Linked DNA regions of Styela clava. The protein of the gene in region 2 interacts with the protein of the main gene of each other region in a pairwise test. Links are inferred from orthologs where the notes say so. Each region holds a gene or a part of one and is shown on either strand. Other genes may lie near its edges.

The links.
Region 1: the proteins of protein patched homolog 1-like (region 2) and E3 ubiquitin-protein ligase NEDD4-like interact in a two-hybrid assay, tested with the Drosophila melanogaster proteins (2 studies listed by BioGRID). The link is inferred for Styela clava from reciprocal best matches to the Drosophila melanogaster genes ptc and Nedd4.

Annotation. Positions count from the first base shown.
Region 1 is NC_135257.1:7,635,105-7,639,399, forward strand, and holds the start of E3 ubiquitin-protein ligase NEDD4-like, read right to left. Parts: upstream 3,054-4,295; 5' UTR 2,957-3,053; coding exon 2,912-2,956; intron 2,368-2,911; coding exon 2,291-2,367; intron 1,975-2,290; coding exon 1,875-1,974; intron 1,154-1,874; coding exon 1,115-1,153; intron 267-1,114; coding exon 213-266; intron 1-212. Other genes in the region: kelch-like protein 7, read right to left, coding at 3,777-4,295. UniProt on the Drosophila melanogaster protein: Essential E3 ubiquitin-protein ligase which accepts ubiquitin from an E2 ubiquitin-conjugating enzyme in the form of a thioester and then directly transfers the ubiquitin to targeted substrates.
Region 2 is NC_135260.1:6,280,764-6,285,058, reverse strand, and holds the start of protein patched homolog 1-like, read right to left. Parts: upstream 2,437-4,295; 5' UTR 2,329-2,436; coding exon 1,564-2,328; intron 1-1,563. UniProt on the Drosophila melanogaster protein: Segmentation polarity protein. Acts as a receptor for the hedgehog protein (hh). Associates with the smoothened protein (SMO) to transduce the hedgehog signal leading to the activation of wingless, decapentaplegic and patched itself.

The sequences.
Region 1 (4,295 bases), on a different chromosome or scaffold from region 2:
AATCAAAGATTCCAAAAATGTAAAACAAAATTCATTATAATTTTGTTTATATTAGATGAATCTATAACATTTAAATTTGAAAATTTATAGCATTCTCGAAACCAAAGTAGCCTACAACTTCAAAATAAGCTCTCCTGGTATTTGAGATCATTTTCGCAAACTAAAAAAACACCAAATAGCAAAATATTTAGTCAATTCGAAATACAACTCACCACTCTGTTTTCATCAAAAACTTCAAACAGTAGTCTGTTTTCCTTTGGTACCACCTGATAAAGTGGAAGAAACAATTAAAATTTGACGGGAGCATATGAGAACAAGAGAAATTGGAATAACAGAGGCAAACTACATACAGGCCAATGATACTCAACAAGTCTGGCTATTACATTTTAAACTGAATTTATCACAACCTATATTATTATTACCGTATGTTACATAAGTTATTATTGTTCCACTAGACAAGTTTTATTCTAGAAGACTCTCAAATTTTTCGGAACTACAAAAAAAGGCCAATGAAATTCTGGCCATAATTCCGCTTTTGTTACATTACCGATATATATCATGAAGGACGAGAAATACATGTGATTGTGGGCTAATATGTATATATGTGTGCTTTTCAATAATTTACAGGAGTTCAATATTAGGATTACATATACTTATGTGTGATATAAAATATCAAGTAGAGTGCGAAACTGGTCCACAAAAATATTCTGTTTCTGATTCTTTGACATCATTACCTCACTTCCATTTTTGTTTATAGTCTTATTATCAGCATTTGAATTATAAGAAGTGGGCATGGCTTAGATTCAGGCAGCAGGTTCTAAGACATACCGTTCCAATTCTAATATACCAAAATCACATGATGTGAGCAAGATTTGCCTAATTTCAATTGATTCTTAAAACCTTGCTTCTGTTCAAACAAATTTTGATGGTTTGTTGTAATTGCAATGATCACAACAATAAATCAAGTTATTAGTTAAACTTCTCAGAGTGGATTAACAGGACACATAATTTAGTTTTACCATTTAAAAATGAAATTATTGTCCAAAATCAGTCAGAATCTCAAACAATCAATACATCACTTGAATGCTATCGGAGCATCCCATATAATACTTACTCTAAAAGTAAATTCTTCCTCCCATTTTGGATTCAAGGTCTAAAAATATCGGAAAATAAAATGAAATGGTTATCAACTTTGCTACATAATATTATTCTGAGACATACATAATAGAGGGAAATTGAAGTAGCATAATTGGCTGTGATCTATTATTTTTATTCAGAAAACCGAATTATATTGAACATTAAAGTGTGTACCGGTAAATAGAATAACGTGAAAGTGAATCAAATCTCAAGATTAAGTAAGGAAGTGATGAGTGCCTATTAGAAAAGTTTGTTTTGTCGACTTTTAAATCCAAGCAATTTCACCGTTACAATCCTAATTTTAGTTGAAAAACACATTGAATCATATTATGAAACTGGGTATTATCAAAATTACAATTGTTACCGTAGATCTTTCTTTCGCCAATATTAAAATATTTGACTAGTTTGAATGTTATTTCATATTCCATAATAGTAATTCTTACGCAAAATTCAGAAAATCAAAATTCAGAAAACAGCTAACTCTAATCCATGATAAACAAGATTTTAAACCAGTAGTAATGTTAAAGTAAATGACATTTTAAAACATAATATACATAGTCTACATAGTTTTATGTAAACAGTCATTGATCCTGATCTGCGGGGAAAGAAACCTAAAATGAATTCATATTTCATGACTTTACTGACCCCAGTTAAACATTGCGTTATGACTATTGTAAAGTGATGTGGAAACATCTATCAAATACTAGGAATCATATAAATCAGAGGAAATTTCGTACTTTTTTCTTTGTTTTGGTTGTTGCAGTTCCATAGCTTTCATAGGATTGCCCGAGTGATATTCGCTTTGGTCGATAGAGAGATACCTTCACGTATGGATCACTAAAATTATTAAAATCAATGATTGATTTCGCATAATATTTGTATGACTAATGTAATAATGTATATTTCTTAAACCCTCTTTGGCCAATCTACTTCAATCACTCACTAACGATCTACTCTTGTCTGATTAGCAGAACGCTCATCTCAAGAGCCATTTATTACACACAAGATTTTAAGCAAAAAGTACTTGACACCTTTCTTAGAACAAAGCTCAGATCCTTAAAATATGTCAAAATCTCTACCATAATAATAAAAAATAGTAATTTGCAGTAGACATAATGAAGAAACAGATATGCATAATAGGAGAAATTAGTACCTGGCACCAAATATATCCTTCTTAGCAAGATTATGACCAGATAAGACTTTTACTCTCACCAGTCTGTGGACATTCAACTGAAAATAAATCGAAACATGTTATGAGTTGCTATTTTCTCAGCACAGCCATATACACACACAATACAGCGAAGATTGCTTCAACAAATTCATTTAATGAAGAAAACCAAAACCACTTTCTGTATATAAGATAAATTATATGACAGGAGAAAGGAGTGGTTTGATTTTGGTGCACTTTCGAGAACAAAATAGAAAAGATGTCATTACTAACTGTGCCACTGGTTTCATTTTGCAAAAAAAGGAAAATTCTACTAGATATAATGTTAAACTATATGGCTATAATAAAATTGATTTGTAATTGGGATATATCCAAAAAATAGTACTTTGTGCACATTGAACAGAGTCAATTATTGATGGTATATCTCATCATGGTGAATGAAAATTTTTATAAAATCATGATTTCATAATAATATCAATCTTCTATTATGGTATGTTTGTTTTAAAAAACATTAGTGTGAGAATATTGAATTTCCAATATTTCAATTGATAAACAATTATTGTTTATTTATATGTTTATAAAAAAAATCAGAAAATATAAGAATACCTGGTGATTTTTATGTCCATATATTACTGAATCAGATGAGGCCATACGAAGAAAATGAAGATGACTTATGCAAGCTCAATCAGTACAGTGTCCTAACTATTAATCCTACAAAATCTTGAGTTTATGTACCAGCAGACAGTAATATTTATATAACTATAAGTTAGCTGTATCTACACAAAAAATTACAGGATTTTACACTTAACTATGTCATGCATCATAACAAAACAAAAAAGCAGCATAGGCCCAAGAGACATTTTAAGTTCTGAATAATTTATTGAAATCCTGAATCTGGCATACATGCCAGACAGAAAACTTTTTTATACAGCACTTTTATAGATAATATCAATCATTATTGCAATGTAAATATCCCAATTTGATTTTTTTATAACAAATAAAGGCAAATGGTGTATAAATCACTGAGCGGAATATGTCCCTCGCTCTTTGGTCAAAATATTTTTCATCAATGCAAATTAGGTCAACTTGAAAGACATTCAAAACAGAATACAACTTATGTATTAATGACAAGCAGCCTGGAGCAAACGGATGATTGAAAAGGAACAAAATGTGAGACAAAACAAAAAAGCGGTGTTTGTAATTGGCAGTGACTAAACTTCAACAAAACGAGGAACTACGGTACGTTGTGTAAACATATGGCAAACATAAATCCCACTAAATTATTTGATTTGAAATATACAATTCTAAATTATGTATAGCTAACATATTTACAAAGCTTTTTTAAACATGTCATGAATCGAAGTTTGAATACTCATAATTTAGAAACAATATTGTAGTAACTTCCTCCGTGATTTAAAATTGAATAGTATATTCAATATTCTTTCACAGCAGCTATAACAGAATATGTCGATCACATTGAAAGAACCCAAGTTATCTCTCTCACTGGTGCCAGGAAACGTGTTTGTCTTTCCCAAGTATTTTTCTCTATGTCATAAGCTTCCACTGGTTCTCCAAAAAAATTGGTCCCCCATATTCCAGAAACAGCATATATTTTGTTGTCGTGTACGAATCCATGACAATAGTTTCTAGGCATTGTCATTTGCAAGATGTCGGTCCATACACCAGTGATGGTATCATAGAATTCAGCATATGATAGAACAGTTGTATTTTCACCTCCAATAACATAAATCTTGTCATTATAAGTCACCGCAGCAGCACCATATCTAGGAGTCTTCATTGATGCAACTCCTTGCCAATGCATTGTCTTCAGATTCAATTTCTCAACAGTGTTTAAAGGTGTTTTTCTTAACAGACCACCACAGCTGTATATGCTATGACCAACAGCAGCCAAGGCATTCATGTCTTTTTCTTCAGACATATCAGGTAGAGGTGTCCAACGATCCTCTGGGACAGAGTACTTCTCACCTGA
Region 2 (4,295 bases):
AGATCAGTGATTTTCAACCCTACAGAAGTGAAAAACACTCAATATACAGGGTGGGCAAAACGTAGAGTGACATCTATTCTTAATCAATTAAATTATTAACTGTTAACCAACATGTAGCCCGCTCTTTATATACATATATAACTAAATTATGACCGTGTATTTAGTTATATTTAAACAACATACATATATATAAATATACAGACTCTGGGATTTAAACGTTAACTTGCGGAACCCTAGGATGCCGCGGGTCCCCGGTTAAAAACCATCGTTTCAGACCTATATAAGTAAAGAAGCGAGTCAACTTACAGCTCAAATAACGGTTATTCACATATTGATCATAAACTAAGTCAAAAATAAAGTTTAGGAATCGCTGTGGAGATACACGTAATCGATTGTGAAAAACACAACGAGTCTATAAATGATAACTTGTTTTAGAATACAAGTTAGGAATCCAGCATTGTTTTAACATCTACGAAAACGTGGGAATAGTTCAGATTCTTGTGATGTAATTATTTATCTACTCGGAAAGATGATTTTTGCATAGGAGGTAGAAATCAGAGCTTTGTAATGTGAAGGCAGACTACGTCATCAACATTAACGATACCAACTAGAGAAGAAAACAAAACACAAAAAGTGATGACGCGAAGCTAAAATTAAACAGTGTATTAAATTTGTCAAAGCTGCTAAATCGTTCAATGGCAGGTGTTTTACACCACACTTTATACGACGTACACGATCTCGTGACATTGTTTGTCAGGTGCCATGAGAAATCGGTCATGCCACGGTTGAACGAGATGTCACATAGATTGAATGACATATATGGTTTTACAAATCCAACCTTTTGAATGTTTTTTGACATTTTTATTTAGACTGTATCATGCAACCGTTTGCAGAATGTTATTTCAAGCTGCGATAGATTCCTCGCAGTTTTGGTCGATATCAGATTACAAAAATAGGCGGCGTAAGAATGTCAGTATATATATATATATATAACTACTACAAAACGAAAATAACGGTCCGTAATTGTAAGATGTTGCTAACTAGATTTTCAATTAAAATTACTCCAGTTTTTGCTTTCTGTCATCGTCGGACACAGAAGCGTGCTTGATTAATATTATAACTGAAATAATGAATCGAAAGGCATCGAAATCGACTTTGAAGTTTAGTTAGAGAGAGATCTACCATGCTATATAGCTTTGGATCGACCTTAACTACGCTGCATTTCCCATGCCTGAAATGGATATCAGCTATTTCCATTCCCAGACTGCGTAGGTGACAAACACTGATGTGCGCACCACCATCGCTCTGAACTAACATGAAATATTTAATTTCAAATTAAACTTTTATCGATGACTTATCCCCCCATAAATCCTCGATAAAACGGCAGTGTGCGTTATTTGAACAGAAAAGGGCGCTCCCGAAGTATGTGAACCATGATGGCGCACAACCTGAACCCTAACCTGGTACAACTACTATGTTCAGGTTGTGTGTCATCTTGGTGCACATACTTCAGGAAGTCCCAAAACAGACAAATATTCCCAATAAACATAAAGTATGACTTACTTGAACAACTTGCTCGTATGCAAATTTCGCATCGCACCAACTGGGTCTTGATAAAAGTTCCAGATCGTTAGTGAGACGAGTTCGATTCCGATGTGAAATTACGTTCCCATTGCTCGTTGGTGATATTTCTTGTCCATTACAAGAAGGATTTCTACAGTTTTGCAAAGAATGTTGACTGCACCTCGTACCCGATGAATGACCATCGGATTCGTTGGGTATTGTACCCTGAGGAGGCATGTTAGTCCGTTTTCCACGATGCCTCAAAATTTTACTCGAGTGACTTGATAAATAGGTTCGATTCGATTCGTTTTGCGTTCGATTCAAATGAAATGAAGAATCTTCTAATATTACTCCGGGACCAATAGCGTCAGCTCTTAGACGTGCGGAGTTTTTGTTGTTGTTATTTCCGCAAAAAGTTCGACTGCAACGCGCTCCTACGGTTTGACTGTCAAAATGCACGCTACTATTCGCACCACAGTTTGCATTATTATGCGTGTTACTATCACACGCATTATTCGTGTCTAAGTTTCGTGATCTATATGACAAAATTTCACTTTGTCGATTCGAGGAAAAATCATTCGAATTTTGTATTGATCCTCTCGTCCGATGGTGGCGTGAGTCTTCATTTGAATTTGCTGTAGCAATTTGACCTCTTTGACCCCGTGAAACAACGCTAAATGCACTATTGGACTGTGGGTCATCGACAGCGAACGGATGATGGGCGTTTCTTTCGCCATGATTGCATGAATCTGATCCATCTAACATTGTGGGTTCTTCATTTGCATAAATCCACTGTTATTGATGTTTGAAATATTCCCAGTAGCATTGTAAAGTTTATTCGCATATTCGAATCATGCTTAAGTTTAATCATCTGCTAGGATATAAAGTAATCAATCACTGGTTTTAGATATGACAGTCTGCTTTTGTTTTTTTTTACATAAGAGGTTAAACGCTAAAGTTGGATTAACCTACCTATCTTCATTGCAAAGAAAGAAATTTTTGGTGTTGTTAAACGTTGTTTGAAGACCTATTTTTCAAGGAATATCGTGTTTGAATCGTTGGATATTTATTGCAGAATTCATAATATCCAAATAGGAAAGCGTCAAGAATTACTTACCGAACGTGGATCGTGTGTGTGACCTGCAACACTGCGTAATTGAAATAAATGTACGCCCAACATATATTTGAGAGGTTCTAGTAAAATACTTGTTTTGCGGTGCTCTTGAGGTGATTTTTCATGCGGCAAAATTTCCTGCAGCGAGATTTCTTAGGACGAAATCTCCTGCGCGAATTTTCCGAACACGTATTTGAAATACGGAAAAGAGAATATGGAGACAATATTTGGTATAGATGAGAGTTTGGCATCAACTGCGCATTCCCAAAGCTTGGTGACATTCTGCTGTTTAGCCGCTGTAACGAAAACTACGTAGCCTACACTTCGCGTAAACGTTCATTATCAGTATCACCCAACACGCTGTTCTCAAAACCAAATACGTTGATTTCCTTTGTTATCATAAAATATGCCAATCAAAAAATTTGCGTACAGCAATTCGACGCGTAAAACACCAGAAGGTCGTTCACGGAACACCAACGTTCCGAAGAACATCGGTTGAAAAACACTAGATTAGAGGAAAGAAAGTGAATTATGGACTTATAGAGCCGTAGATTGTTCTGCCCAAGATTTTGTATAATTTTAACATTAATTTAGACACTAACCTTTGATATTTGTATTTCAACTTTAAAAATTTATTGATGTCTCGATCACTTTTCAAAAACGCAATAAATGATAACGTGAACCAGTAACGTTCTCCTGTCGTAATATTTACAGAGTATAATTTCATAGATACTCCCGTAGTATGTGTACCAGGTTAGAGTTGGACCCTAATTTTATTCAGATTTTCCTTGTATTAGTTCCATTACGAATTCTGGGACTGCCTGTGTCAGCCAAGTGAATATGCTCTCACCAATAGGTTTCAGTCCCTACACAACTTGATGTGAAACGGGAAAACAAAATCAGTTACTTCCATATTAGTACACATACTTCTGTAGCGACCTTTTCAAAAACATTTTTCATAGAAAATTTGTTCGTGATAGTTTTACCACATAAACCACTGCATCCATCGTCGATACCTTTGTTATTTAACGCATGAAAGATGTTTTGAAAATTGTTTGTTGTTACAGGGATGAGGCAAATGGGGCGTTGCTCAGAAGAAAAGAGTAAAAAACAAATCAATTTGTTTTATTATACGTTATAATTTCCCCCTATTCGATAGTAAGGTTGAACATAGAGAACTATTTATCATCATCCGTTATCCCAACTCTATAACGAAATACACACCCAATAGATCTTTTGTAAATAAAATTTGATCAATTGTGTAGCAAAATCGAGACTTTCTCCAATTTAAAATATCTATTATGATATTGAATAAGAAAGAATGTAAGCATGATAAAATAGTAATAGTTGTAAGCATGTATTAGAAAATAAGCTATTTATGTATATTTTAAAAGGGTTCAATAACTCAATAACTAGCTTTGGTTCCCTAAAACTCCCTTTACCATTAAAATTGTGTGCTCACTTTTTTTCCGCAAATTGTATACAAATTATATTTACTCGTTGCATTGACTTAAACACAATCAATTACAATATTTCGCCTAAACTCAATGCAAAGTAGGAAATTAAGTCATTTTGGGCGGCGGCCATGGCCTAGTAGGTAGAGCGTTAGACTTGACTC